Linked DNA regions of Arabidopsis thaliana. The protein of the gene in region 1 interacts with the protein of each later gene in a biochemical or structural test. Each region holds a gene or a part of one and is shown on either strand. Other genes may lie near its edges.

Region 1 (9,364 bases):
TAAACCAGCGCATCGGCGAGGGCTTTCTTTATCACCTGGACCGGATCAAGATCACTTGAAAGGTTAGGTCTATAGAAAAAAATAACTGGAATTTGAAATCTTAGTCCTTGTTGGTCGTCTATGTCGGAGAGAGGCTTGAGCTCTCGTGGCGTTGGTTTAGCCGGAGTGACTAGCTCCCGCTGCTGGCGATGCACCTTGAAAGAAAGACCAGTGGTGGTAGATTGTGGCAGAGACACTTGATGGTCCATACTTTGATACTTTGAAGATAGAATCACACGTACGAGATACTGTCTTCACCACACATACATATATATACGTAGTTATATAGTATTGCACATTTTACGTGTGTTAGTTTGGTATTATACTATTATGAGATTTCTTTTGTCTCGACTCTAGAATGTATTAACCTTAAACAATAGATATAGGTAAACACATCAATACTCCATGTAGACACGATTTTTTTTTTTTCCACTAATCAAAATAAAAGGTGCAAAGGAACGCTTTGGCTTAACTTATTTTTAAAGATGTGTATTCAGTTGGGAAGAATGATATTGTGTGATTGGCTATTATCATCGTAAGGCTTTTTGTGTGTGTGAAATTCCAATCATAATTGAAACAGAGCTTTTGAGTTTTATAACACAAGAGAAAAACAAACGACATATAATTCTTGAAGCTGTTTGGCCCCATCACATGATACAGCAATTTGGCGAGGACTCCAGCATCTCTGGGGATCTGTAGATAAAATAAACATGAAACATTGGTTCATTTTCAGGTAAGGGAGATCCAAACCCAATTGAGAAAATGAGATACAGAGGAGGAAAGAGGAACTCACATTTGGCCAAGACTTGCGAAATCAAACCCGGGATCAATCTCTTTAACTATATCACTCGGGGGTTGTCCACATTCCTGCATCTTTTGCATGATCTCCATTATCTTAGATGAATTGTTAGGTTCATTCTCGTACACTGCATTGAGTTCTTCTATTAGTTTGTACTGTTGTGAATATCGTTTGTAGTCTTCTTTGCTTAGACTGGCTTCATTCTCTTTTAGCCATTTCGGATATCTTGCGCCAAGCTCCTTCATTGGTTCGTGGAGAATATCCTTCGACAATAGCTGTTGCATCATCGTCTCGACTATTGATTCCAAGTCCTAGTATGCAAAAACAAGATGAGAGTCAACAGAGCGACAAATACCAAGTAGATAATGAGCTCTATATAACCTTAACATAGCATAAAGAACAAATTCTAATCAATCAGCGACCAGTTCTATGAACTCATAACCTTGAAGATACAATAGAAGAACTCACAGATCGGTTCCGCAATGAAACATCATCCAGCAGAATGTTCTACTAAAATCTACTTGTAGTACAGTAAAAGACAGCATAATATTTTCAACTGATGATCGAAAGACTAAACTTTCGAGTTTCAATTCAATTAAGTAGAGACAGATTCAGTTTCACGGTATATTACCTTAGATCCAGCAAGATCCTCGAATTGTTTGAGAAAATCCTCAACCATTCCATCATCATCAGAAGCAGGCAGCTGCTTAGAAGAAATGGATTCCAATCCTTTGACAGTTTCCCTAGTTTGTTCCCTAAGCTTATCAAGAGCTTCAGCAACATGATCCTCTTTGGAAACCTTTTGTTTTCCTCTCTTCTTGCTTCTCATATCTGGTAATCCCATTCCAAGACCTTGAACTCCACTCGGTAATAAAACCGTCTCTTCTTTCCTCTTCTTTTCCTCCTCCTCTTGAGCTTCCCTTTGATTTCTACAACAACACATCCCAAAAACGATTCAGAGCTAAAACACAGAAATCTCTAACTTGGGAATTGAAAGTCTCTAAACTCAAATCCAAAAAAGTTTGAGACTATGGAGGTAAACACATAGGAAAAAGGAGTAACCTTTGATGAGAAAGATTGAGATCTTTGAAATCATCCAATGCACCTGAGACAGACAAAACCACAGAAGATAAACCCCAAAATTCTCAGAGAATCAATAAAAACCCTAAAAGACAAAACCTTTAAACAAACATGATAAATGGGCAGGAACACAATTTAGATAGAATTCGAGAAAACGCCGATCAAATTGTAGAGAAGACTTACTATCGAGAAGCTCGTCCAAGTCATCGGTGTGACTGTTCGCCATTTTCCTTAGGCGGTTCTCTTCCTCTCTATATCTCTGTGTAAACAATTCGCAGATGGGACGACGAAGAATATCAGAGAGAGAGAGGAGAGAAAGATTTGACAGAAGAAGAAACCTCTTTTGGGTTTGCCTTGTTTCGACACAGACGGTGCGATTGATTTATATGATGACGCTTCTTTTAGTTGCGGTGAAGCCAAAGTACACGATCCAACGGCTGAGATCACTTTATTTTTAGCCAAAGTACTCGACCCAACGGCTGAGATCACTTTGTTTTTATTTTATTTATTTTTCCAAAAGGAAAAAAAAAGATTTTTCAAAAAAAATTGATCAAATTTTGCAACAGAAACAGAAGAGAAGAACAAGCTAACCAAACTATAAATCAGAATTCTGATGCAGCATTAAGGTGGTATCAGCGGCGTTCAAGGGGAAATCATCAGTGAACAGTCGAAGGATGATGTATAAAGAAGCCATATGGGAGGAGCTTCAGAATGTGGTTCATGCCCTTGCTCAGATGAAAACAGAACAAAGCTTACACAAGTGTGACTAAAGCGATTCGAATCTTTATTTGGTCGAAACTTCAATGCCAACAATGTGTTACTTCAATCTTGCTTCCAATTATTCTGGAGTAACTGAAGAAAATGTCAGCTAAGAAGATGTTTCTGCCTTCATTGACTCTGTCTTCAGACAGGTAACACTTCTATTATCTTGTACACATTTCATCTATTTTTGGTCTTCAGGTGGTCTAGAAACCAAGACATGCCTGCCTTTGTATGTGCGTTTGACAAAACATATGACTTGTACTCTTTGTTCTTAATAATATCACAGATAGAGATAACTCTTATTTTTATTCCTTACTCTAATCTGACACAAGTTAGGTTAATACGAAAAGTATTTGTTTACTGTAGATAATCTATTAAACACAAAGGTTAGTCATTTTACTCTTCAAGTTCAAGTAAATCCAGATCAGAGTTTTGTAGCGTCTCTTAAACCTCAAACTATCTCAAAAGTCAACTCTTTGTGTTGATCATATGATCAAACCATATCTTTAGGGTTAAGCTATAAACACAGGTACATAACCTATCTATATATATATATCTCCATATACTTTAAGAACCTCAAAGAGAAGAAAGAAGTCACAGGGATCTGTTAGAACCAAGAACCTCACGGTGAAAATGAAGTTGTTTGATGCTCATTGTCACCTCCAAGACAAGAGGGTCATCGACAAAGCCTCGCAGCTCATATCTGCTGCTTTAGCTGTCGGTGTTACCAATTTCGCAGTCAATGGAACCTCCGAGGTTTGTTCCCAAATTTTCATGATCGCTTGGTCACTGTCATCTATATTACACAAACGTATACATATTTTTAAGAGGTTTTGTTAATGGAGCCAGAAAGATTGGAACTTGGTGAAAGAGATGGGAGAGACGTATCCTTCTGTTGTTCCTTGCTTTGGACTCCATCCTTGGTATATATGGGTTTTATGTACAGACGATCCTTTTTGCAATTGATGCACAAAAGTTTCAGATCAAAGTTTCTTCTTTTTCTTTTCTCTGTTTTGGTTTGCAGGTTTATTGCTGATAGAAGCCCTCATTGGTTTAAAACATTGAAGAAGTTCTTTGAGACCACTCCTACTGCTGCTGTTGGAGAAGTTTGTGTCTTTATCACTTATTCATCTAAACTAAAATCTTTGTCTTCAATTTCTTTTTGAATTCTGAAATGTTTGCTTTGTTGGTTCAAGATTTAGTGTAAACTGCAAAATGATATGTTGTAATGAAACCCCTTTTGGCTGAGATCTCATTAGATTAACATCTTCATAAAATTTAATGTGTGTTTTGCAGATTGGTTTAGACAAAGGTCCCTTAGCAGGAGGAATTGATTACTCAGACCAGCTAGTCGTGTTTCGCCCACAGCTTGAACTTGCAAAAGAACTGAACAAACCAGTAGCAGTTCATTGCATCGATGCATTTGATGATCTCCTAGAGATAATGAGGTATGTATATCTACATGTTGCATTTACAAAGATATAGCACTAAGTTTCTCAAAATAAATACACGCAGATCCATAGGGCCTTTTCCTGCTGGGGTGATTCTTCATTCATTCAATGGTTCAGCTGAAGTTGTTCCTAAACTCGCTGAGCTTGGTGCATACTTCTCTTTTTCTGGCTGGTTCACTTACATTGATGAGAAAATTGCCAAGAAGACTTTGAAATCGGTTTGCTTTTTTCCTCTGTAATTATACAAACTTCTGGAAAACGAATGTATTGAATTCTTTTTACCTGGTCTGGTAAAGATTCCTTCCGATAGGCTCTTATTGGAGACGGATTCACCTGACGGGTTACCAAAATCAGATGAGAGTTCTTCGGATCCAAAACCAACTCTCAATGAGCCTGCAAACATTCTTGCTGTATGTTCTTATCATCATCTGACTTTTTGCTTATTTCAGCTCATTACTTGTCTAATCTTTTCCGTGATGAATAGGTACTAGATTATGTTGCGAACCTGTCAAACATGAAGAAGGAAGAGCTTGCGGAGTTAAGTTATGTGAATTCTGTGAGGTTGTTTTCTTATCCAGGTTCCAAATTGCTTACAGACCAGTAAAAATGGTGTCTCTCAACAGAATTGTACCATCATCTCTGATCAAAGAGACAAAAGAACAATCATCTTCTGTTTCTGCTGTTGTGTGTTAATACTTGCAAAAGAAAAACTCATTCAATACCAAAATTATGTTGTTTCTGTTGCTTACTTGGTAGAAGTTGTAACTATGTATCAGATACATTGTATCTTCTTCTTATTGTCTTGTGTAAACCCAGTTATGATGTTTGATTTTTACATTTTTTCTTATAAATCCCATTACATCATATAACAGTAGCCCCTTACAAAAGTTTTGCATACTTGTGTAATTTACATTAAAAAAAACACAGATTACCAGAAGAACAGAACTAAACACTAACACTCTACAATCTTCTTCTTCATTCTTGAGAAATCATAAGTCTCTATTCACCTTCTTCTTCTTTCTTCTTCGAGAGAGAAACGAAGACCAACAGAAAGCAAAGTCAACAATCTTTCTCATCTATTTCTCTTTGGGAGAAGAGAAGCAAAGATTAGAAATCTCCATCGCATTATATATATTATTTGTTGTATTCTCCATTCATAGGCAAAGAGAGAGATGTCTTCATCATAGCTAAGCTTTTGGTTGCCTTAGAGATAGACTCGAGACCTTTCTCTCGTTCCAAGCCAGCAATGATGCTCTCTGTTGCTCTCTGCGGAAGATACAGCCAGTCCTCTCAATAGATTACACAATGACCGGTGGATCGATTGATGTAAGTAAAAAAAAAACCTTTGAAGTTTTCTGGTAATGTTTCGAATTCTTGATTTCTTTTGCTTTCTGTAGGCAAAGCCAAATCATGATTCTATCGCGTTGCTCCTTGTCAGTACTCAACGAGAATTGAGTGAGATGTTGTAAGTATTAAAAACAACTTTGATAGAAAAATTGATTTGATTAATGTGTTAAATGAAATTCAAATTAGTAATAAAATTTTCACATTGGTAAAATTTTGATTTAGATAGCTTCATAAAATTTAAAATTTGGCCTTAATTATCTAGTGGTGCAAAAGTTAGCCACTTCAAAATTTGGCCTTACTGATGTTAGAATTCTTCAAGTTGCTAGCATAGTGGCATCTGCTATCAACTAAACCGGAGGTTGTTTGGTTTATGTTGTTGTGGCCGAACATTGAATTTGTCATTTCGTTATTTTATTTTTTATAATCTTTTATTTCCTTTTCGTTAATTAAAAAAATTAGTAATAGTAGAATATGATTTATTAATAATTTACCCAGTCATCTTGTATTATTCAGTCAAAAGGTTTTTAGTCCTGTATTTTTTTATAAATATATTTTATTGAATAAGATTTATTTATAATTTACCCAGTCATATCGCTAAAGGAAGCGTTTCGATATTTTACATTTTCTTTGAGAAATCCCACAATATCATAACAATAATTCCTAAATCTCAGCAAGAACCACACTCTTTCTTCTAACGTCTCTTTTTATCTCTTTTTTTTCCTTTTAACTTTTGATTTAATCTTCAGTATTGAGGAATGCTTTTTGTCTTCTTGTTCTCTGGTTGCAGAACCCCGTCAAACACAAGCTTCTGTTCCTTGGACAACAAGTTACAACCACAAACTAGTGTTCGCAAACATATACAATCTATTCATTCAGTAGAAAGGCTAGTACAAAATGTCAAATAGATATTCGAAGAACCCATCGAACCAGTAAAACTCTTAATCTCTTCCATTTCGTGTTAATTTTCTGTGAAATATGTATTAAACCTAATGTTAATCGTTTGTAGAAATTCAAAGTCACAAGATCTTGACCTCTATGTGAAAGGCGTTCATTTTCATCTTAACAAAGTAAGCTTTTGAATCCGATTTCGCTGAGATTTATCTCTTTTTGTGGTTTCTTCTGATTTCGAGGGTTTCGATATTTGGTGTTGGTGTTTGGTTAGGAGACTTTAGCTAAGAGATCGGCGAAAGTGACGACATTACTCGAGAGTAACAAGCTCCATGAACTGCGTTGGATCATCAGAGACATGGACATCAACCCAAGTATCTTCCACCTCGTGACTAGATTCTGTTATGGATACAAAATCGAATTATCAGCTGACAATATCGTCTCTGTGTTATGCATTGCTTATTACCTAGAGATGAGCGATGATCATAGCTCTAACAACTTGTTGAACAAGGCAGTTACGTTCTTGGAACAACGAGTTCTTATGAGCTGGAGTGAGACCGTGAAAGCTCTTTGTATCTGCAGCGATAAGATTTTGGACAAACTAGCTAATGTTGGACTCATCGAAGTTTTCTTAGATTCTCTTATCGAAAAGGCTCTCAACGATACTAGGTTGCTCCAAGATTTGATTACATTACCACTTCGGTTATATGAACCATTGATTCTAGAAGTGAGTAAGCACAATGTCTCGTTAGAAAACCTTGTGGCCTCTGTCTGCAATTACGCGAATAGATGGGTTTTCGAGAAAGATTCGGGAGACGGAAGCGTTTCAAGAAACAAGAGAGAAGGAATTGAAGCTGTTGAGAGGCTTTTGCCTCACCAAAGAGGAACAATCTCGTCTGGATTTCTGTTCAAATCGCTGAAAGAATCGATTTTTCTTGGTGCTTGCTCTGATTGCCGAAAAGGGTTTGAAGTTAGGATAAGTAACCAGCTTGACATGGCTAGAGCAAAAGATCTCCAGATTCTGTCACCAACAGAAGATGGATCTTATGACATCGAGCTCTTGAAAACCATTCTCAAGAGCTTCTATAGTAACGATAGTGTCCCGGATCTTTCGCGGTTTGTGAGTGTAGCGAGAATGTTGGAAGAGTTTCTGTTGGAGGCTGCTGCGAGTGATGCTGGTTTAAGGGTAGGAACATTCAAGGAACTAGCAGAAATTGCAGTTGCTGCGTCTTGTGATGTGCTGAGTTACTCTGATGGAATATACAGAGCGATTGATGTTTACTTGGAGAGGCATAGAGACTTGATTGAATCGGAGAAGATGGAAGCTTGTAGGTTTCTTCATTGTAAGAAACTTTCACCCGAGGCTTGTGAACATGCTTCAAAGAACGAGAAGCTTCCATTGAGGATTGTTATGCAAGTTTTGTTTGTTTCTCAGATGCAGATTCGGGATAAGGTGGCTAGAGAAATGAAAGGTGTAGTGGAGAGAACAGAAAATCAAGTAGATGAAGTGGAGAGTATGAGTAAGAAGTTGTTAAAGCTCGAGATAGAACCTGATTACATGAAGAAAAGAAAGATTGAGAATCTTGAATGTGTTGTTCATTGCGAGAAGAAGAAGACAAGTGTGTGGAGAGAAGTAAAGAGGAAGTTTGGTTGTATGACTTCTTCTACCATGGATGCTTGCAGTTGTCATATCAAGAAGAGGAAGACTTATCATAGCTACAAATAACAAAGGATCACTCTTTTGTTTTGTTAGAATTTGCTTTTTGTTCAATTTAAATTCCTCTGTTCTGTTCTGTTTTTGCTCTGTTTTGTTGAACCCTTCGTTAAAATACTCTGTTTTTCGCGGAGGTACCTCTCCTAATGAACCTCATTCGGAAATGTAAAACATAAAATTTGGAAAACAAACAAATATCAAATTTCAAACGCTCTTCACATAAAATCCGAGAAATACACCAAATCTCACAGAGATCAAATCTGTTTCAACTCAAGATCAATTATCACAAATCAAACACGAGAATAACTTCTGAACAAAAGACTTAGGAGTCGAGTGACGAGTAGATCCTTTAGAAAGATCAACGATCTCATGCTCATCACGGCCTTCTTCTTTAGCCTTCTTGGACTCACCATGGAATCTAGTGAAAGCTTCTTCTACGTACCTAGCCGCATCCAAAACCTTCATTTTATCTGCGAGCTTAAACGGGTAAATGTCTTTGATATGATCTCCTTTTAGTACAGCCGCTGCTTGAATCAGTTCGATTTGAAAATCAGTGAGATCTTCGTCTTCTTCTTGTGTTCCAATGTCTATGTCTCTTGCCCTAGGAAGTTCCGGTAATGTGACTGTGTAATAATCCAAAAACTCATTAAACATATATTGCGTTTAATATGGACTATATAACCAACTATATATTTTACCGGGGCAGTCCGTCCTTGGGCTGGTCCGGTTGATGACAGCATCGAGTGTTCCAGCCCATTCGTCACGCTTTGTAAGAAAGCTCTTGAGGTTGAATATTTTCTTCAGTGTTGCCGGAATTGATGAATGTTCGAACTGCGACGTTGGCTCTGGTCCATTTGGCTCGTGTAACACTAAAAAATAATGTCATCACCAGTAAATTATTATAACCGGTTTTGACCAACATGACAATACCACACTAAAGTCTAAACTAACACAACTCGGTTCCAATTCAAAACATACGTACCCGTTCCAGGTTCGATCCAAGGCGAGATTAGCAAAGCAGGAACCCTAACACCAAGCCGGTCAAACTTAAAGTTATAGGGCTCAGGTCCAACTAGACCATCAGGATTTGGGACACCAATGACTGGAGTAGGGACGTGGTCATAATAACCACCATGTTCATCATAAACAACAACGAAGAGAATCTCGTTCCACTGAGGACTAGCTCTTAAGGCTTCGTAGATTTCTTTGACTAGATTTTGGCCTTCAACGACGTCGTTTTTGGGATGGTCATCATTAGCTGGAGCCGACAAAATCTTGAAGTAC
Region 2 (10,472 bases), on another chromosome or scaffold:
GATTAAGGTGTCGTTCGTTTGATCAGTTGACTGATGCATCTAGATGCAGATGATAACTGATGTTCGTTTGAACACAATATAACAGAATAGTTTGATACATCAGTTGGCTGAGTTTATAAAACTCATTCAAAAAAATTAAAATATTTAGCTGACTTTGATCGGTGCATCTAGATGCATCAGCTGCAGTCAAAAATGGTAAATCTCTAAAATACTCCTTTAAAATTTGAAGAATTACACTAAAATAAATATATGTCCTTTTTAGTCATTTGGTACATTATGCATTCAGATGCAGATGCACATTGTTAAAAAACAATTCAAACGAACACATCTGCATTCAAATGATTCATCCAGATGCACTATCAACTTCAGAAACGAACATCATCCAAATGATGCATCTGAATGGATCTTCTGGATGGATCACCCAGAGGCACTACCTAACTGATTAAACGAACAACACCTAACATTTTAAAATGGTATTGTGCCTAATATGAGATTTTCTTGTCTTGTAATAGATCTCCAATTGAGATTATTATATGTAATATAGAATGTGAAAGACCACCTAACATCTCCAACTCTTTTTAATGAAATGTAAAACAACAAACCTCTGTGGTTTCTGCACTAAATATCATAGAGAAAAAGGTAGGCATGGGATCGAGAATGATGTCAGAAATATATTTATTCTGTCTTCTCTCATAACTTGTTGATCTTACTCAAAAAGTCTGAAGCCGAAGCAGATTCCATTCCTGTAGCAGATGCACTGTCCTTAGGTGTCACTGTCTTAGCTGCTTTGCCTTTCTGCAGTGCCTGTCTTTGTTGATCCCATTGTGCCTAAAAATCAGAATGATACAAACAAACCAAACTTGAATGGGTATTGGGCGTTCGACAAAGAGGGCATTCTTGCTTCTCGTTGCACCATTCCATAATGCAGCTCCTGCACATGACAACATGACTTTCAAAATGAGCACAATGTTCCGGTGTCAACTTTTGGATCTTAGGTTTTGTAGTTCGAGTAAATGTTCGATACAAAGTTCATCTTATCAAAAGCAGTTTCAACCAATGGACATCAAGATATTGAAATTCTCTGGATTCTGAAACTTATCAAGGTTTGTAGGTGTTAACTCGTTCCAGATCAGGCCCAGGACAAAATAAGCAATTACGGTAGAGGAAGGTTTATTACCAACAAAACACATGACCACAAGGAGTGGCCGTTGGGTGCTGACGGGTGCTTAAGCAGAGAGTGCATTTCCCTACTGCCTGCAATCGAAGTACATAGCAAGGTAAACACCTAACATAACAAGTGGTAACATATTGATTTCATCAAAACGAGAGAAAAATAAACCCCTCTGGAGTTTTTTTAAATTTAGAATAGTCTCAAAATAGGATTAACATATAACCTTGTCTCGCTAGAAACTATATGTAGAGCGGGATCAGTCGAGTGGCCATCTACTCTTATCAGATACTCATACCAACAGAGTAAACTATCATTTTGGTTTTCTTAATCACACTTATACAACATAACCTTTGCGTAAGAGCATAATACATTTTGCTCAGAGTTATGTGCCTCTCTTCCAAGTATATTATTACCTATTGTCCTTTCCCAATAATGATCACTATTCAAGATATTAGCCATTACAAAGTAACAGAAGTTTCTAACTTATTTATAAATATTTTACCTCCGTTGAAGTTGAATCGGAGGTAGACCAGTTTCCCTTTTCAGCTTCCGAAGTTATCAAATTCCCCTCTTCATTTAAAACAGGTAAACCTCTCCCTGCAAGAACAATACCAAAACTATATTACTGTAATGTGAAATAGGGTGATGCATAACAAGCAGAATATTTCAGCCTATGTTATCTTCTCTCATGTATCTTTCTAACAAACTTTTACCATGATGCCAATTTAGACCATAGTTTATTGAAACTATAGTACTGACAATCTAACATATATATCCTCCACAAATATCCGTAATGTTGGGAAATTCTAGATTATTAACATTCATAATCAAGGACATGAGAGCCAGACCTCCTGAAGTTTGATAAGATCCTATAGAAGCCTGCTGAATGGAGCTAGTGATAGATGACAAATTACTCCGACGCAAGCCCTCAGCAGCAAGGATGCACAATTGGATTAGAAGGAAAACCCCAAGAATTTGGTATCTGCTCAACAAGACTTAAGGGAGTTCAGTTACTCTGTGATAGTAAAAGTCAAGAGTTGCAAGTGTAAAAGAAGACAAAAAAATCATTACCTAGGTCTCTGATTCAGTTGCTTTCCTATGAAAACATAACGAACCCCGGATGCACGTTTCGATATATGATAATAAAAACCTGAAAAGAAACAAAGGTTACTAGTTCAGAACATGCTCTACATGAGTTAAATATTTCTCACAAAATTCACCTTCAAAGTAGAAGAGCATCAGATTGGCACGCAAAACCAGTTGTAAGACTTCGCGGGCAACAGGAAGAACCTAAAAGGCACAAAACCTTGTATAAAACAACATTTGCTACGCAGAAAACAAGTGAACGAACCATGGAAAATTAAACGTGAGGGGTATACATTACCACAGGCCATCGCTGAATAGCTCGGTGCCACGATCTCATAAGTCTATCGTTTAACCTAGATACTACAGAAGTTGAAGTTTCAACTTGAGATGAAGATGGAAGATCTATCATTCTTGGTGAGTGGATATGACTATCACCAAAAAACTCATCAGACTCATCAAAGGTGACTGCTTGCGTAGCAGCTCGAGTGCTGTAGACAATTATATCAATATCAGCGGACAAGATTCAAATTTTTCTTTGTAAAACAACAATAAGAAATGCGACGAAACCTAATTCTCTCTGCGATATATGGAACTGCGGTCTGGTACAATATGAACAAAGCACGTCTAGCTGGTGTAGGAGAGAGTCCATAAGGCCCTGCAACCTATATTATATCATTCTACATCAGAAGGTAAAATGGTTTTGTAGAAGCACACTTAAGGAAGATTGTATAAAGTAACAAAAACCTGTATAATGTCACAATATTCCTCTCCTAAAGTTTGTTGCCCTGAACCTGTCGTAAGAACATAGTAAAGCATCTGTCCAAGTAGCTTCATCTATCCAAAAACAATAAAAACAAATAATCAAAAATCTCATGGAAACTCAGACAAATATAATTTAGTGTATATTACCTCCTTCTGGTAAGCAAGAGCGATTCTTGTACCTAAGAGTGATAAAAATTAGTTATTAATTGGACAATAACGATGAAGCAATTAAAGTAGACAGTTGTTGTTGTTTGGTTTGGTGTCGGAAAAATTGTACCGAAAAGGTGTCGGAAGGCATCGCGGCAAGCTTCGTGGATGAAAGAAGCGTATTGATCGTCTTTCTCAGCAGCTCTCATAATCTCCGGCTGAGCTGCTAACGGGAATCGTCTGATTCCGCCGTGAAACCCGCTCGAACCGGGTTCATCCTGACCCGGACCCGAATCCCCATTAAGCCTCATCGTTTCTTTTTTTTCGTGGATCGATGAACTTGCCGAATGATGTTTTTTATTCGGCCTTTGATATTTTTTTTTAATTCAAAGGAAAAATAAATATTTGCAAATGTATCGATGCCATTTATATATGAGATCAATAATATTTTATTAATTATAATCTTTTTAATTATTTTTATGATCAAATATTTGTCTATATTAAGCAGTATTTTGTAATAGTCAATCGATTCGGGTGAGCTGATTAGTTTTTTAGAATACATGATGTTAAGTAAATTATGTTAAAAATAAATCCGAGCAAAGTGTTTCCATAATTAAATTATTAAAGGAGATATTAACCTTGACGAAAACTTTCTCTCTTCTCTCTCAAAAACTTTTGAGAGAGAGAGTTTGTTTTTTTGGTAAAGTCCGATCGTGATCTCATATGCATGTTCTATCCTCGCCGTCCGGTTTATCCGGCTCCTGTCCAGCATCGACTAGCTTCTAAAGTAGTGTTGGCTGGCTTATGTCTGGCGATTTGCCGTCTTGTTTACGGTGTCTTCGGCCAGTTTTGGGTTTGTTAAGTTTTTTTGTTTCAATAATCTCATTAGATCTGAGTTGGTGATGATGTTTTAGGTGTTGTGTCACTTAAAGAATGGATTTCTCCGACTTGTTTCTTTTGAGCTTTTGGTTTGCAGAAATCTTTCCAGAGACATAAGGAAAGAAGAATCTTTCGAAGCATATTATGATTGCCTTAAAGCTGTTAGTTTCTTTTTGGAGTTTCGATTAGCTTAGCAACGGTGACAAACAAAGGATTCAACGACCGATTATATTTCGGCGATAATCTTCTCACCGAAATCGATGCTCAACGGCGAAGGTTGATGTCGGAAATCTTTCGATTACTCATCCAGCATGTGTCGTGGTTGTATCCAGTTGCTGACACGTGGGCTTAGGTGGAGTACAAACAAATTTTCTTATGCAGTATGCGGTTATCCGATAGGCTCTTGTTGGGCCTCAAATATTTCTGTAAACTTTTCGTGGGGCTTTTAGTGTAGCCCGTGTATGATCGGGTTACGTTTAATACAATACTACACTTGAGAAAAAAAAAAAGAAGTAAATTATGTTATTTTTGTAGAATATATTTTTTTTTCTCAAGATTTAGAATACATAAACATGAAATAAATTATTATAACACAAAATGTTGGTCTAGTTTTCCAATCTTACTCACTATGCACTGATTGATTCAGAGGTGTGATCATAGCCTTTTGAAGAAGTTCATAGCCAGCTAAGTTCAAGGCTCCGAGAGGAGCAGTCCAGAAAAACCTTGGAACAGCTCCTTTGTAGAAAGCAAGAGGACCCTCATGTGTGAGAATTGAATAAGCAGCCATCAACATCGACAATTCCACGCCTTGTGGAGCCGTCATCATTCTTGTTTTAATCACATCGAATGGCGTTGTTAAAACTGCAGTGAAACCACCGGACAAGGCTCCAACCGCGATGGCTTCCCACGGCTCCAACTCTCTTCCTAATTGTCTCTCCACCACCTGTGAAACTCAATCGCAACCACGTCTTATTAATTACACAAAGACATGTCATTGTTCTGTTCTATCATGATTACCTTCTTTGATTGGTTGTAAAGTCCCATGCCAGCAACGTAGAAGGGAACCTCACGTAGAAGGGTAACACCGGTCCCACGAAAGAGTCCTTTGAGCCCTTCTTGATGCCAAGTCGAAACTGTAGCTTCCACTATGTTATCAAACTGGTTGGCTTGTAACCGTTGTTTCAACACTTCACACGGTATTCGCAACGTTGTCCCCAATACCGTACCAATAAAAGACGCGATTGACTGAACCTAAAATAATCAAGAAGCAAAAAAATTCAAAGAACGAAACATTATGTAGCAATAAAGTTGGCAATGAGCTTTTTACAATTACTAACTTGAATATCAAGAAGAGTAGGAGCAACGAGCGGTAACGCAAGTTTACTTGCTTCATATATACTTGTTCGTAAACCATGACTGAAAAATGTTTAAACAAGAGATGAAATCATGATAATGCTTATAACCAATAACCACAAGGCAAAGCATAAGAGATGAAACCTAGCAAATTGACCAACAACAGCCGGAATCGAGCCTTTGTATAAACCTCGAGCACCAATCTCTGGAATCTTTGACAATATTTCGAGAAACGACAATGTAGTTGATGCTTGAACTTGTGTCTTAATGATCCAAGACAAATGTAAGTAATCAGAACAATCTCATAAACACAAAAGAAGAACCTGAAATGAAATTACCATTATACCTTGACAGTATCCACTGGATGCATCAAAAAAGCAGAGAAAGCACATGAGATTCCTCCAGCTAATGCAGATTTAAGAAGATGACCAACATCTAATCCAACTCTTGTCCTAACAAAACATGTAGTTTAGACACAAATGTTTTAAAGAAAAACAGTATCTACAAGGTTCTTGTCCTCACCCAGTATCAAAGTTCTTGCCTTTAGCAACAGCTTCATTGATCAATGGAGCAATTTCATTGGATCTTGAAGTAAAATTTCCAACTTTTGCAAAATTTAAGCTAACTATAAAGCTACACGCATCTGAATTCGATTTTCTACGGAAACAAGAGTCAAGCTTTTGAGAATTTAGAAACAACAAATCATTGAGAATAGAGAGAAGGAGAGATTCAGGTGATACATGTTTCCTCTTCGGAGCTTTATTCACCATTGTTGATTTCAGTGGATCTGTGGATAAACCTTGAAAACTAACTCTGTTCTTCATCCGTCATTAGAGGAAAACAGAAGAGTGATTTAAGTGAGATTAGTCAACGTTTGATCCAAATAGTGGTTTTGATTATCGAATTAAGCCATTTTTGTTAGTCTTTGTTTAAAGTATTAGTAATTTAGTATACAACAACAACGCATATGAGGTGTTCGACGAAATGACTGTGTTAAAACAAATTGAGATGTGGGACTGAAACAAAACTAGAGGTAACTATTTTAACCAAAGATGTCAAAATGAGTAACCTTACCCAAACCCACATGGATTTGAGATTTTAATAGACGAGTTTGACCCAACCCATGTATTTATATAAGTTGAATTTATATACTCAAATCCACAACCATAAAATTTATTGGTTTAATTGGTTATATTGATATCTAGATAAAAATAAAAGAAAAATTTATAAGTAATAAAAATCTAAAAAACATATTATAATAAAACCAAGAAAAAATTTCAGTAACAAATTAAAAAATATCTAGATATTAAAAAAAAAAAACATCTTAAAATCCTAAAGTCCTAAAACCACAAATCCAAAAAAACACAAAATCATATATATATATATCATAAAACATGTTATTCATGCCTACTATTTTTATAGTCTATTAGATTAAAATATTTTGCTTAATTAGTGGACCGAATCAAAGTAATATCCAGATATATTTATATGCTTCGTTAAAAGCGAGATTTTAGAATATGACTTTAGATGTCATTTGTATTTTTAACCAAAATATAAATAAAATGTCATTGGTATTGCCAACTATGACCAAATTCTTCAATTCACAGGCATGTGTGAGTTCATGTCGAAGAAATTAAAGATTCACCTATTTAACCGGTGGTGCATCTCAAAGTGGGGAAACAAAAACCTCTAATAATGAAAGTATTTGCCAGGTTGTGTTTAGCTTCGACCATGTGGTTCGGGTATGGTTTATTTTATTTTATTACTATTTCATCTTATCTCAAAAATAAGATTTGTATGCCATGTTGCGTTAACGTTGACCATTTAGTTCCCCAGTATATGGTTTAAGCGCAATGTATATCTATGCATACATTTTTGTTTTTTCGGTTTGTGATCGGTTTTAAATTTTGTATGATGCTAATAACAGTTGTGTTTTGGAAATCACGCCGAACCAACAGACATGGTCGCAGTCAAACAACTCCATCTTTGGGATTTTTTTTTATCTAAAAGAATTCACGTCCTTGTATATAAAAGGTGGTAATATTTGAAATATTGAGATTTCAGGCAACACTCATTTTTTTAAGATTCTCACGTATAAATTAGGATTATATCATATAGGAATAAGTATAACGTGGAAGATTATTATATAGGGATGAATCATCCACTAGTTAAGCAGAATATTATATTATATAGACTATATAAAATACTAGGCATGAATGAATTTAAGCATACGTATTACAGACTTGTTTGTCAAAACAAAACAGGCATTAATCTTTTTTATCTTTCGAAGATATAACCCATGGCGATATCTCACGCCCAACCTGTTCTGCTTCTCCTATCATCACTCTATTTCTTATCTGCTTTTGGCGCCGGCGCATACAATTTTGAAAACTGCAAAAGTAAGTATCGTTTTTGTTAAGTCTTATATTGTTATATAGAACATCAATTCTTGTTACTTGATAAGTCAATTCAATGAAAAGAATATGCCTGAATTTCATAGATTGTGGTTTGCTCCTATCTCTGTTTTTTGTTTTACCAAATAAATCTTGAACCGGAACTCACATTAGTCGTCAATTCCATAAAACAGAAATAGAGTATTTTGCTACTGTGAAAACGTTTATATAGAAAGAACAGATCAATGAAACTATGAAAGTACTCCCATCTATAAAATAACCCAATAATTGTGAAGTATTCACCGAAGACTTTTTTCTTTTTTTTTTCCTTCAGTGTGGTTTTCGAGAGCCGTGGTGTATAAGTCAAGAACTGAGTATTATAACTAAAATATTGCAGGTCCAGAGTTCCTCCAATATTCAAAGATAGATCAAACAATTTGAAATCTGATCGAAATTTAAAATAGATTTATCTTTTGTTAATCCTACAAATAAATAAATAAAGAAACACTTACCCCTATGACCCTATCATTTGACATACCAAATTTCCAAATAAAGAAATTTAGGATTTATTTTTGTAAGAAATTAGGATGTAGATCCAAGTTTTTTTTTTACCTGCCATGACTTACTGATAACTTCTACAATTGTTAACATGCTCTAAATCGGTGCGACTAAAGATGCACCTATTGACTACAATTACGGTATTACGAACGTCACACGTGTGGAGATCTCTCCATACCCTGTTGGGCCTTACGACGAGCCAACCATTACCATATCCGGCTTTACAAGTGATGATAGTACGTAATATTTTCTATTCTTTTAATTGTTTTCATTTATAGTTTCCAATATCTTATCTTGTAAGAAAATATATTTGTGTTTACAGGCTACATCATCTATAGAGCAACTATACATGTGTTGTATAAATATGAAAATGTGAATAGCACTATAATAAATTACGACCTCAGTGATGTGATGGGTGAGGATCCATGCTCTATTGAACCTGGCGAAAAATTTGTGTTAACTCTTTCCAAAGTTCCTGGTTTGCAGTCACTCCCTCATGTAAGTATTTTTTATTTTAATTTTTGGACAAACGGTTTCACTTTGATAAATGTATTTTAAAACCGAACAATCTAAAAACCACAATAGTATATTTACTTGGTTTGCCTGACGGTTTTTTTTTTCTTTCTTTAAACTAATTAGAAGGATAAGTCCAAGATTGTCATATCCCTTGTTGATGAATATGGTGATGACGCTGAAGTGCCACTGCTAAAAATGTGTGTTGAGTTCGATAACCCTGCTCCAACTACAACATCGGTCTCTGCTTGATTAAATCCAATTGGCTTATGGAAATATGTTTTCAATTCTTCATATGACACTCCCGTATTACTTGCATTTTTTTTTCCCTTTTCGTGTTGTTCAACAAATAAAAGAAATATTGAATTTATAGTTTTATACGACTCTCTCGTTAATTACTAGCATCCTTTTTATATTTCAGTAACTATATAGAAAAAAATTCTAACGCATTTGCTAAAAATAAGCTACAACAACAAATCTCTAGCTATGTTTTTATCGCAAATAAGCTACAACAACATAATAAGCTACATTTGCACATGAATAAACGATGCACGAATCTGTCTCACCTTGTTTTATACGTATAGAGCGCACTTGTTTTCTAGAAACTTTTCCATTATAATTGATTAGTTCAGAAAAAAATTAGAAGATTTGAAGGTGTTGTGTGGCGATATTCATATACCAAAATCAGTAACACAAAATCAGTAAATAAAGGAACTTAAAGAGAATACGAAAATTAAACAAAGACAAAAGAAGAATATGGAACTTGTGACACATGAAGTTCAAAAACAATATAACATGACGATGAATGAATCCATTAACCTTTACAATGACTTAGCGGGGAGCCGCATAGACAGTCGTTGCCGGCAAACACACTTTCTGGAAACTTTGTCACCGGAAGTTTCCCACAAAGATGGTTTTGACTCAAGTTAAGTGTCTTTAATCCGGCCACCCTCGCCGGCACTTTCCCGAACACTAAGTTCCTTGATAGATCAAGCGTCTCGAGCGTCGTCGAGAAACTTAGCTTCCTCAAATCGAATCGGAGTTTGTTCCCCGACATTCGAAACTCCCGTAGTTGCTCTGCTCCCTTCAAGAACCTCAGTGGACTCCCTGAGATCTCGTTGTCCGAAAGATCAATGGAAACGTAGAGATCAGTTTGCCTTGTTTTCCAATCGTCTAAGCTCATCTTGATTCCACATTTAGCCAACTTCAAAGAGCCGAGGATCGACGCTGAGGTCACCCATTCCGGGATTGTTTCCATGTGAAACTTGTTGTACGACAGATCTAGAGTCAAGATGTAATTCTTCACGTTCAAAACAGGGAATGGATTGGTTAGAAGATTGTGAGAGAGATTGATATTAGCAATTTTAGTCAGCTTGGCCAAACTCTTCGGCACGGCTCCAGAGAAACGGTTCTTGGAGAGATCCAGTGTGTCGAGCGCCACGAATCTTGATAAATAGCTCGGTATCGACCCCGAGAGATTGTTCTGACCTAGCTCAAGGAACGCAAGAACCGGCGCGAGCGATGCAATCGACGGAGGGAGCTTCCCGGAGAATCTGTTGCGTGAGAGAGTGAGGATTCGAAGGTTAGTCATTGATTTGAAAATATCCGGG
Region 3 (10,113 bases), on another chromosome or scaffold:
CTTACAGCCTTTTCTCGAGCTCCACCTCCAAAGAATGCAATAGATTCAGCATGAGTGTTCAGCCTCTCGTGCATAAACCTACATAAGCAGGAAGAAGTTGGTCTGATAGTCGCTATAACACAAATCATATGCAAACTGGAAGAAGCGTAAAAAACTTACCGAAACTTCCCTTCAAGCTGCTGTTCTTCACCGGCTAGATCACCGAAATCGGGAGCAACACGTCTCAGAAAACCAAGACCAAGTAACATATATGTGTAAAGTATGGCAACTCCCCTCTGACCAGTCAGTAACTTCATCCTCCAGGTGAACCTTCAATTTGTTTTTTTTTTGCATTATGATAATTCAAACCAAGAACCATGAAACAAATATTAGAAATCAATCCAACATAGCGTACGTACCAGAGAATGTCAACCGATGGCTTTACCATTCCAGTAAGAAGTCCAGACAAGTCAGCGGTTAACTTTTCCAGGTCACGAGTGAGTCTCTGGTCCGCATCAATACTATTGCCTGACATGTGGAAAACCTGAATAGATATGAACCCAATGAGATCTTTAGTGTCTCTAGCCATGCGACATCAACTTACAAGAAACATATAAACAGACAGAAGCATAGAACAATCACAAATCAATATAAATTTAAATTGGTATGGATCTTTCAGAATCTCTGCATATTTCTTATAAGTGCAAATAACGCATCATGCTTTCTTTTAGGTCAAGTTGCACTGAATAACACAAGTTCATGCTTCATAATCATCATTCACAATGCATGAAAAAAGCATAATCGTGAATTGACCTTGTAAAACGCATTATTTCTCAAATAGTTCCTTAGCAGATGTTGAGTCAAACGAATCCTCCACCCTAACGCTAGCCTTTGCGTTAAATGCCTGAAGAGTGTAACAAAAAGAGTTATGTGAAACCATATTAGCGAGGTGTTTAATAAATATAACTAATAAGCTACTTTAAATTAGTTCAATAACTTGCTTTTTTATCAACATGCAAGAAATGAAAACAACATAATTCATTGAGCAATTTAGTAAGTCGTGACAAGGTGATCATAGCGGGTGGGACTTCGAAACACTAAAAATGCATAAAAAGGAAAGATTACCTTAGTGAAGGAGCAATTATAGAAGATGCACCACTTTGGAGAACACTCAAACCAATCAAACGAACAAAGGCTGCCTTATCTTGCTCCAAGACATACTTCACAGTGGTCCCTGCAAAAATCATGGTTGCTTGTTAGAAAAGGAACCCTATCAATAAAACTGATCAAGTAACAATATGGAGTATGTTTACCATTCAAAGAGGCTATTCGGTCAGAGATCAGCGTTCTTGAGACGACAAGGCAAGCAACAGCAAGCAGTTGAGCTCCTTGCTTGTCAAATATAGTGGGTATCTGAAATGTAACAATGAAGTGGTCAGTTATTTTGAGAAGTATAATATCAATATTAGCATCAGCGCAGGACGAATAAGTTAGCCAAGTGGAAATGCAAAACAAAAGGTGGGGTTTCCAAGGAAGCTAAAGAAATGCACTGAAATGCCAAGCTGAGGAGAATGGAAGAGAAAAAGGTGGATATATGAATGCAGCTGCAAAAAGCATGTGTATTGATATCTAAGTTAAGAATGATTGGTACAGCTATCTACAATAAAATTCACACTAGTAACTCAAGCTCACCAACACGTTTAACATTGCAGCTACTCTTGATGGTAAAGCCCTTTGGGATGTTTGAGGTTGAGGAAAACGAGGCAACACTACACTTTTATCTACAACAGGTGATCTTGCAATTAACTGTGTCTGGTACGACTGAGCCTTTGAATTAGTAGCAGATTCCTACAAAGCACCGAGTAACCAGGTTAGAACCATCGTCAACGAAAATTATAATAAACAAATAAAACTTCGGCTGAGACCTTTCTAGCTGCAGCAAACGCTCGTTGAACAACCATCGCATCATTTTGCCGATCTGTATCTGAACTTTTCACTGAATCAATTTCAGCATCCGTCAGAAGGGCAGAGTCATCCCTGAAGGTTTAGTCATTTTAATAAGTAAATAAAAATAAACTTTAATAATTCTCACAAACATGGCTAAGAAACAATCCCAACCTCTTGTAATGAACACTCCATCCTCCTTCACCGTCTAATGACAGAACAACATCATGGAATGCAACAAGCGCTGGACGATGGGAGATTGTTATGCAAGAAGTTCCCATAGCTCGAACCTTAGCGGCAAAGCGTTCTTCCATATCAGTTGTGACAGCACTTGTGCATTCATCTAGAATTGCAAATTTGGGTTTGTGGTAGAATAGTCTGGCCATACCCAATCTCTGTTGCTCTCCAAGAGATAATTCATCACCCCAATTAACCTCTTTTTCAGGTTGGTAGCGATCCAATAAATATTCTAGATCAACCTACAAGCAAAAGTCCACAAAAATAAGCGTAACATACAAAACACTAACTTAAACCATCCTAGTATAGAATAGAGAAACAAGGATACTGACATTTTTCAATAGCTCCACCATTCCAATCTCAGTGAGCAGTTCACTCTCTTGGCCAGAAGTAAGAGGATATATTAACTGGTCACGAAGTGTTCCTACTGCCATATAAGGCCGTTGCGGCACATAGAAGATCTCCTTGTTAAGATCAGAACCAACTCCTGGCTTCACAATATGTCCAGACACCAGGGGCCATAGACCTCCTAATACTCGGAAAAGGGAACTCTTGCCACTTCCATTAGGACCTACGATACATATTGTTGAGCAAATAATGATATATCAGGTAAGCAGAAATCAAAATTTCGAATCTAGATGTTATTGCTTAATCAATATAACATAAAATGAAAACCCAGAAAGCCAAAAATAGTCCAGTAAATCAACCCCAGAAGATGATGTGTTGCCAGCATTCCACTAACACCCTAGTCGTTGAGCTGGATATGAATGGTTCGTCAATAACTAGGCATACCAAATCTAATTTTGACAAGTTTATAGTGCTATCCCTTCCAGAATACAAGAAGAATTAATTCTTTCAGAATAGTATTTCAAATTCACATTCCCATTTTTTTGCACTTCATAAGGACAACAAGGGGTACTGAGATTTTCATCTTTGCTACTCATCTCAAGGACCATAGAACTAAACAGTAGTGGTATACGCTTTACTGTGCAAAAAAAAAAAGCAATGAAAAGGGAAATTGATAGTCATATTATGTTCTAGATATAAAGCGTTCACCTGTAATCAGAAGATTAGACCCTTGCTCAACTCGAAGGGTGAGATCCTCCACCAAAACATTTCCGGTTGGAGTAACAACCTAGAGTGTGTTAAGAAACATTAAGAACACGACATTTTGGAAAGGATTACAGTAACATGAATCTATTCCAACTACCTTGACATCGGAAAACTCTACATAATTAGCTTCACTTAGATAATTTCTGCTTCTATTTCTCTGGAAAGACGATTTATCATCACCACTGAGTTCTCTTGAGACAGCCATCAACTCATGGATTCGGTCAGCATAACCACTGCCGGAAGCAACAACATTCCAATAATTAGAAACAGCTAAACAGTATTCACCATTTAAGCGTCTGACATGAGATCCAACATAAAGCATTACCTGAGTCGGTTGAGCCGCCTGGAACTTATAGAAAGTGTTCCCAACGCCTGAAAGAGAGATATAATGACACTAGTGTGATATCTTATATTGCTAAGCATCTCAGCTCTTCCTAAGGTCGAGTCGTCAGGTCTTAGATGCCCAGAGAAGAATGGTTCGATAATCAGAATAACTGCAACTGTGGCCCCAAGATACTTCAGCAGAAAATCTTGGATCATACCAAACCACCAGTGATCATGAAGCACGTGACTCATATGGCTAACAAGATTCTTGAACTTTTGTTGTATATGAGATTCTTCCCTGGTTTCCCCACCATAGAATGCTATGCTTTCCGAATGAGTCCTTAAGCGTGAATGAAGTTGCCGGTACTCTCCTTCTAACTGCTGTTCCTTGGACATCAATTTCCCAAAAGAAGGAGAAAAGTTTCTTATCGCCGTCCCAGCCCCCAGTACATAGGCCTACACAACAATTGTATAGGTTAGTTTATAGATACCAGACCGAAAGAATTGTACTGTGAACGGATACAAGGAAAAGCAGCATAAATGGCCCAACATAAGGTCAATCTTGAAGTATAGAAGATTAAACATGAATCACCAGTATCCAGAAGATGTATTTTGGACTAGCATATGAACACAGGCGCCATGCATACAAAATTCCATCAGTAACCGCCGTCAAATCATCCAGTATAAGATCGCTCAACTCTGAGGAGAATCTTGGTACATCGCTGGCAATTCTTTGTTCAGGGTGCGTAATCCGACCATCCACGTGTGATATTTTGTAATATACCATATTCTGAAAACAACAATTAAAACTGAGTGAAGAGATATCCAGCAGTCTGAAGTATACTCGATACTCTCACTAGTCAAAAACACTCGTATCTAAAGAAATAGTAAACAATTGAATGGCAGAAGAGATGGCAGTTGCTACCTCAAAATAGTGTGAATGGATAATCTTGGTCAATATCTTTCTGAATCGCAAACTCAATGCCCCAGTTATGTACTTTGAAGTAGAGTGCAATGTTGATAGCATGAAACACAACATAATATTCTCGGAGATGAGCCGTAGAAACAGTGGCGCACGCCTTAAGAAAGCAGCACGGAAAAGGAAACCTTGCACTTTTGCCAATCTATTGCTCAAAGCTGTTCTGAAAACCTACAAGTTATAGAATAACAGATTGGAAAGAGTACTAGTCCCGCATAAGTAAGAGAAGTAACCAGACTTTTCCCGACTATTGGCCGTAAAGTTAGATTGGTGTTTCTTTCAGCTAAAAAGAGAGACACCCGGTATTCCATAACAATAAAGCAACGGTTCGCAATTGTGAATTTCCATGAATATCTACAGGACTTTGCAACAGCACGAGATCAAACTTAAACAACCAGACAGAAAATCTATCTGACTTGGGCAAAAACATAAAACAAAAGTAAAAACTTATTAATTAAGAGGAAATGCATACCACGGTGGCGACTAGTGCCAAAAGATCCCTGGCACCCATTTTTCCCATCTGAGAGAGAAGAATAGCAGTCAGAACCTGAAGAGACTTCAATCCTCCTCCTTTCTTCTTTTTCGTGGTTATCTTTGCATTTTGATCAGTTGCAGTCAGCTTTTCCAAAGTCTCATCATCATCACTCTGACCATTGCAAAGACGCGAAGAATCAGGCCTCCGGGAAGCGACCCTTGATTTCAGGTAAACAGCAGTTCCACCAGCAGCTACAATCCCAGCCGCAAGCAGTATAGATTTCCTAAAGAATGAAACAGAGAAAGATGAAATCTGAGCCCAAACGAACAAAAAAAACTTCCATCTAGAATACAATGAAGAGCAAGGAAATGGTTACCGTCTTGACGCTACAAGACCCCGACCCCGCTCAGTTAACTGCAATAGTTGAAGTGAAGGCATGGCCTGGAATTGAGTATATTTTCCAACCAACGATTAATCAGAACCAAAACTGGTTTCTTCTTGACAACAAGTGTCCAAAACACCTGAAGTAATACCAAAACTCCAAGGTTATGAATATTAGAACAACCAAATTATAACAAATCTAAAGCAAAGAAAAAAAACGTGTAACCGTTGAAATTAATGCAAAAAATGTGAATTACGCCTAAAGTAAGATTCTCACACTTTTGGATCAAGAAGAAAAACAATGAAAATGATTCATGTATAGTAACACGCGTAATTAGAATCCTAACACAGACAAAAATTGTTTAACAACCCAGCAAATTTGATCCTGATTACATACATAAGAAAGCGCAAAATCTAGATTCGTAAATCAAAAAACAAAACAAACCGATAAAAGCTTAGACAATTGCAAAAAAGCTTATGCAATTAAACAAATCCATGACGAATTACCTCAGCATGAGAGATTCGACCAAGGAGTGTCTCCGGGAGGGATAAACGAAACAGAAGCTAAATATAAAAAAAAAACTCGAGAAATCGGAAATCGTAACAACAACAACAACCACTTAGCTAGAATTCTAGACCATGTGAATCTCAACGCCGAGGAAATTAATTCCGACTACGCCACCAACGGCAACGAGACGTACTAGTCCACCGTGACGGAACTCCCCCAAATCGAGAGATAGAGATAGAGAGAGAGAGAGAGAACGAGAGAAAGTGAGAGCCGAAACTTGGGAAGAGGAGAAGATGATGACGCTTATTTTACACGTGCGAACATATTCACTCGTGCCATTTTTTACTTTTCTTCTATTTTTATACCATCTTCTTGTCTAGTACTAATTGATTTCGTTACGAATGCTATCAGATATTTTTACCTTATTTTTTAGATTTTTTACTCAGGTAACTCTAGCCACCGTTTCATTCTCGTTAAAAAAAATGTTAACGCTGTACTGTAAAAATAAATAAAATATCTTAGCCTAGTTGGTAATGTATCAAACTATCAATTGTTTCTTTTTTCTTATTAAAAAACTTGGTACTAAAACCATGTATAGACAGATTTATTTCCTTTATGTATAATTTGAATACAAATAGTACTATGTATAGAAGTGTCGAGTCCTATGGACATACACTGCTATCCTTCCATTGGTAAGTTTGTTTTTTCTAATTGAGGAAATTGTGATTGGTCTGTAAACTTAAATATATGATAGACATATTAGCAATAAAATCATGGATTGTTATTTCATGTTTGGAAAAAAAGTTGAAATTCAAACACGATAATATACAAGGACATTTGAAATTTGCACGAATTATTGAGTCATCAGATATGTGAAATAAAATGGTTGTTAAAGATTGTTCACTAAAAGAGTTTAATTTGGTAAAGTTAAAAGTCAATACTTTTCACAAATTGATATTTAAGGTGTGAATTTTGTGAAGTGGGAAAAGTGCAAATTGTACACCGCATGATTGAAGCACACAAATCAATGTTGTGATACTGTGATGTCTTCCTACTTTGTTTCTGATAAGTACATATTACATCACTCCTTTCGCCCAACACAATCCGTATACTAAACCAAAATGGGCCTTAACTTGATTGAAACCCAATACAAAAAAATGTTATGGGCATTTTTGTTCACGGGTCTTTAAACTGGTTGATCTGGTGAATTATCACAGCACACAATAAATTTAGGAATTCACAATTGAATAATGTACATGTGATACCAAAAGTTGAATGAAACGTTTTTATACAAGTGCCGAGTTTCTAAGTGACAAGATTGACAAAATAAGTAGGCTATTTATGACATTTGGGCATTGCCTACATTTAGAAACTTTTTCCTCGATTTTTTTATTTGGCTAATTGTGCTTATAAATTTCTATCGTCGTGATAGTTGTGCATGTAATTTCTATGATTTGACAAAAAAAAAAAATAATAATAAAATTGTAAAATAGATTCAAAGTTGGAGGAACTCTATTTTCAGTTTCATAATACACACGTCACGTCATAAAGTTAAAACAACATTCCGGCACAATATGAGGTGAGGTGATGGGCCTTGAGAAATGAGTGGCCCATACAACAACACGTTAGGACACAAAAGCCCCATTTTTCTCACCATACGCCCCACACTCAATCGCCAATCCACCGACACAAGTCAATAAAACACTACAGCACCCAGTTCCGTCGGTAACTCCTTCAATGACCGAAATGCCCCATCCTCACGAAAGTCGTCGACTCTACGATTCCGTAGACCCCACCTTATTTAATTTTTGACTTCTCATATTTTTTTTATTTCAAACAGAAACATTTAATTTTCGCGGTTATCAAGAAAAACATTTAATTAATTCATTCTTCTCGCCGTCCACATTTCACAACATATTTGTAATTTTTACAAAGAAAAAAAAGAGACAATTATAATGAGATTATGAAATTTTATTCCACATTTATCGATTTATTATAAATACAATTGAAGTTTTTAAAAAAAGTTTCCAACCATCCACCAGTAATTGTTCTTTCTATTGCATTTCTCAGCTAAAATTTTGCCGAATTTTTCAAAATTTAAAATATAAAAATACAAAGATAGAGAAGAATAAAATAAAGAAAATTTCAATTTTTCTTCCCTTCGTCACCGCCTTCTTCCAAGTACTCTTTCTTCCTCCTCTCAGCATTAGATAACAGACAAATCAAAAGGAAACACGTGGCATACACACCGTGTATCTTCCAGTTCGTCTTCGGAGGCTGACGAAGCACCACCCTATGAAACACCGCCACGTAATAATGCAGACCTACAGCAAAGCCCACAAAGGTCTGCGCCAAGCCCAATACCTTAAGGCCCAAACCACAATCCGTGGAGAAGACGAGAACGAGGTACATGAGAAGAAGCAAGAGGTAGAAGACGTAGCCTAGGGTTTGCAGGATCTGCAAGCAAACGTATGTTGAGCTCGATGTTGCGTAGAGAAACTTGAGTGGTTCGATTCCGGTGACGAGCGATGAGAGGCATAGGATTGAGAAGTAGATCGAGAGGTAGATTTGGATGAAGATTAGGATCTTCTGGAGTGAGAAATAAGCTTTGAATCTGTTGAAAATGAGTGAGACTAAGAGTAGAGGGACGAGGATGAAGACGAAAGAGACTACGGAAGCTATGGTTGGTGCGTATTTGTTGCCGAAATAGGGTTTGAAGTTTTTGGTGATCTGTTTGTTGGCTTTGTTGATGTAGTTTTTGGATGTTGTTGAGATTCGCTCTAGGTCTGGGATTAGGGATCTTTGGAATCTTGTTGGTAGATCTCTGAATTCGCTTACGAAATCTTCGTCTTCTTCGTCGTCTAGCCAGAATGGTTTGATTTCTTTCTCGGATTGTTTCGATTTGGTCACTGGTTTTGAGGAGGGTTGTGATTTCTTCTCTGATGGAGGTGAAGAAAGTTTGGAACTTGGGGGTTTTATGGTGGTTTTGTTTTTGGATGAGCTTGATTTGGACAGATCTGCTGATTTCTTGATCGAAGAAGTAGAATTTGTGGATTTTGTTCCGGAATTGAGCTTCTTGAGCTCAGAGCTGGTCTTGGTTGTGTTAGAAGAAGATTTTGTGGAGTTAAGTTTGTGAGACGTACCCATGGTGGTGGTCTTGGCGAGTTTAGTTTGGTTCTTGGTGGAAGAAGAAGAAGAGATGGGTTTAAGGAGCTTGGTTTGATTCTTCTTAGTACCAGATGATGATGATGATGATGAAACAGAATCAGTAAGAAGCTTCTTCTTCTTAGGAGGAGGAGGAAGATTGGTTTCATCATCATCACCAGTTGAATCCAGATCTTTCACCAACAATCTTCTCACTCGGAAATGAGGATCTATTCGTTGTAGCTCATGATCATCAACTGATGAGGCAAAGAAAGAAGAAGAAGAGAATAGGAAGAGACTGGAATAGAGCAACAACAAGAGTACCTTTCTAAAACACAAGTACTTGAGTGGAGACATTACTTTGCTCTGAAACCTAGGAATCCCCTCACTGTTTCAGACAGATCTAGCGAACAGAGATCGCAAGCTTGTCAATATATAGGAAAAGAGAAAGAGAGAGAGAGAGAAGCATTAGTGACAGTGTGCATATGTGTTTATATATGAGTGTTTGTGTGTGTGTGAACGATAAGAGAGAAGATGGAGACCAGAGAATTTACTAATTCAGTCCCTTTGATAATATCAATGTACTTACTACTGTTTAACCGCACCGTCATGTTGCAGATTCTCTGCTACTTGTCTAATTTTTTATATGATTCTGCATTTTTTTGTATTTATGTGATTGTTTGTATTTGGTAGGTGATAAGTAAAAAAAAAATGAATTGTTGGAAAGTTTCATTGTACGTGAGTAGTAGTAAAAAAACAATAGCAATCATTTGCGAGATCTAAAATTAGAAAAGTCGTTTTCTTATAAATAAATATAGAAGAGACATTTTTGTGTATGTGTAACTAAATTTTCATACGCTATTATTATGTGAAAAAACAAAAGGAATTTAAGCATAACTACTCCCACAACTTCTATCTGATTTGGTTTAATGGTGATCCCATTGTCGAGAGACAAAAGGCTATCTTTCCACTTAAAATATTACAACTATATATTTAGTTTGATTTCTAGATTAATATTGTATCTAGTTT

Evidence for each region.
Region 2: the proteins of PEX19-1 (region 1) and PEX10 form a complex in vitro, tested with the Arabidopsis thaliana proteins (one study listed by BioGRID).
Region 3: the proteins of PEX19-1 (region 1) and ABCD1 form a complex in vitro, tested with the Arabidopsis thaliana proteins (one study listed by BioGRID).

The regions. Positions count from the first base shown.
Region 1 is NC_003074.8:829,616-838,979, forward strand, and holds PEX19-1 (peroxin 19-1), read right to left. Parts: upstream 2,383-9,364; 5' UTR 2,145-2,382; coding exon 2,102-2,144; intron 1,944-2,101; coding exon 1,901-1,943; intron 1,768-1,900; coding exon 1,470-1,767; intron 1,150-1,469; coding exon 833-1,149; intron 733-832; coding exon 687-732; 3' UTR 501-686; downstream 1-500. Other genes in the region: CHAT (acetyl CoA:(Z)-3-hexen-1-ol acetyltransferase), read right to left, coding at 1-248; AT3G03500 (TatD related DNase), read left to right, coding at 3,314-3,436, 3,530-3,603, 3,705-3,786, 3,977-4,128, 4,196-4,349, 4,428-4,541, 4,616-4,735; AT3G03510 (Phototropic-responsive NPH3 family protein), read left to right, coding at 6,725-8,092; NPC3 (non-specific phospholipase C3), read right to left, coding at 8,357-8,703, 8,779-8,949, 9,063-9,364.
Region 2 is NC_003071.7:11,216,939-11,227,410, forward strand, and holds PEX10 (peroxin 10), read right to left. Parts: upstream 3,570-10,472; 5' UTR 3,478-3,569; coding exon 3,297-3,477; intron 3,199-3,296; coding exon 3,167-3,198; exon of another isoform or gene 3,092-3,166; coding exon 3,002-3,091; intron 2,920-3,001; coding exon 2,825-2,919; intron 2,746-2,824; coding exon 2,556-2,745; intron 2,462-2,555; coding exon 2,392-2,461; intron 2,322-2,391; coding exon 2,243-2,321; intron 2,154-2,242; coding exon 2,020-2,153; intron 1,769-2,019; coding exon 1,674-1,768; coding exon of another isoform or gene 1,659-1,673; exon of another isoform or gene 1,593-1,658; coding exon of another isoform or gene 1,581-1,592; exon of another isoform or gene 1,255-1,580; coding exon 1,178-1,254; intron 932-1,177; coding exon 829-931; 3' UTR 501-828; downstream 1-500. Other genes in the region: AT2G26340 (uncharacterized protein), read left to right, coding at 8-53; AT2G26360 (Mitochondrial substrate carrier family protein), read right to left, coding at 4,665-4,988, 5,063-5,296, 5,383-5,461, 5,543-5,661, 5,745-5,850, 5,921-6,222; AT2G26370 (MD-2-related lipid recognition domain-containing protein), read left to right, coding at 7,698-7,797, 8,466-8,585, 8,672-8,847, 8,989-9,114; AT2G26380 (Leucine-rich repeat (LRR) family protein), read right to left, coding at 9,677-10,472. UniProt on the Arabidopsis thaliana protein: E3 ubiquitin-protein ligase component of a retrotranslocation channel required for peroxisome organization by mediating export of the PEX5 receptor from peroxisomes to the cytosol, thereby promoting PEX5 recycling.
Region 3 is NC_003075.7:18,484,596-18,494,708, reverse strand, and holds the start of ABCD1 (peroxisomal ABC transporter 1), read right to left. Parts: upstream 6,276-10,113; 5' UTR 5,940-6,275; exon of another isoform or gene 5,573-5,939; 5' UTR 5,490-5,572; coding exon 5,428-5,489; intron 5,335-5,427; coding exon 5,049-5,334; intron 4,748-5,048; coding exon 4,523-4,747; intron 4,388-4,522; coding exon 4,190-4,387; intron 4,054-4,189; coding exon 3,599-4,053; intron 3,507-3,598; coding exon 3,371-3,506; intron 3,296-3,370; coding exon 3,217-3,295; intron 2,732-3,216; coding exon 2,493-2,731; intron 2,403-2,492; coding exon 2,098-2,402; intron 2,017-2,097; coding exon 1,905-2,016; intron 1,828-1,904; coding exon 1,672-1,827; intron 1,393-1,671; coding exon 1,293-1,392; intron 1,214-1,292; coding exon 1,105-1,213; intron 884-1,104; coding exon 793-883; intron 524-792; coding exon 399-523; intron 310-398; coding exon 160-309; intron 79-159; coding exon 1-78. Other genes in the region: AT4G39840 (cell wall integrity/stress response component-like protein), read right to left, coding at 8,086-9,441. UniProt on the Arabidopsis thaliana protein: Contributes to the transport of fatty acids and their derivatives (acyl CoAs) across the peroxisomal membrane. Provides acetate to the glyoxylate cycle in developing seedlings.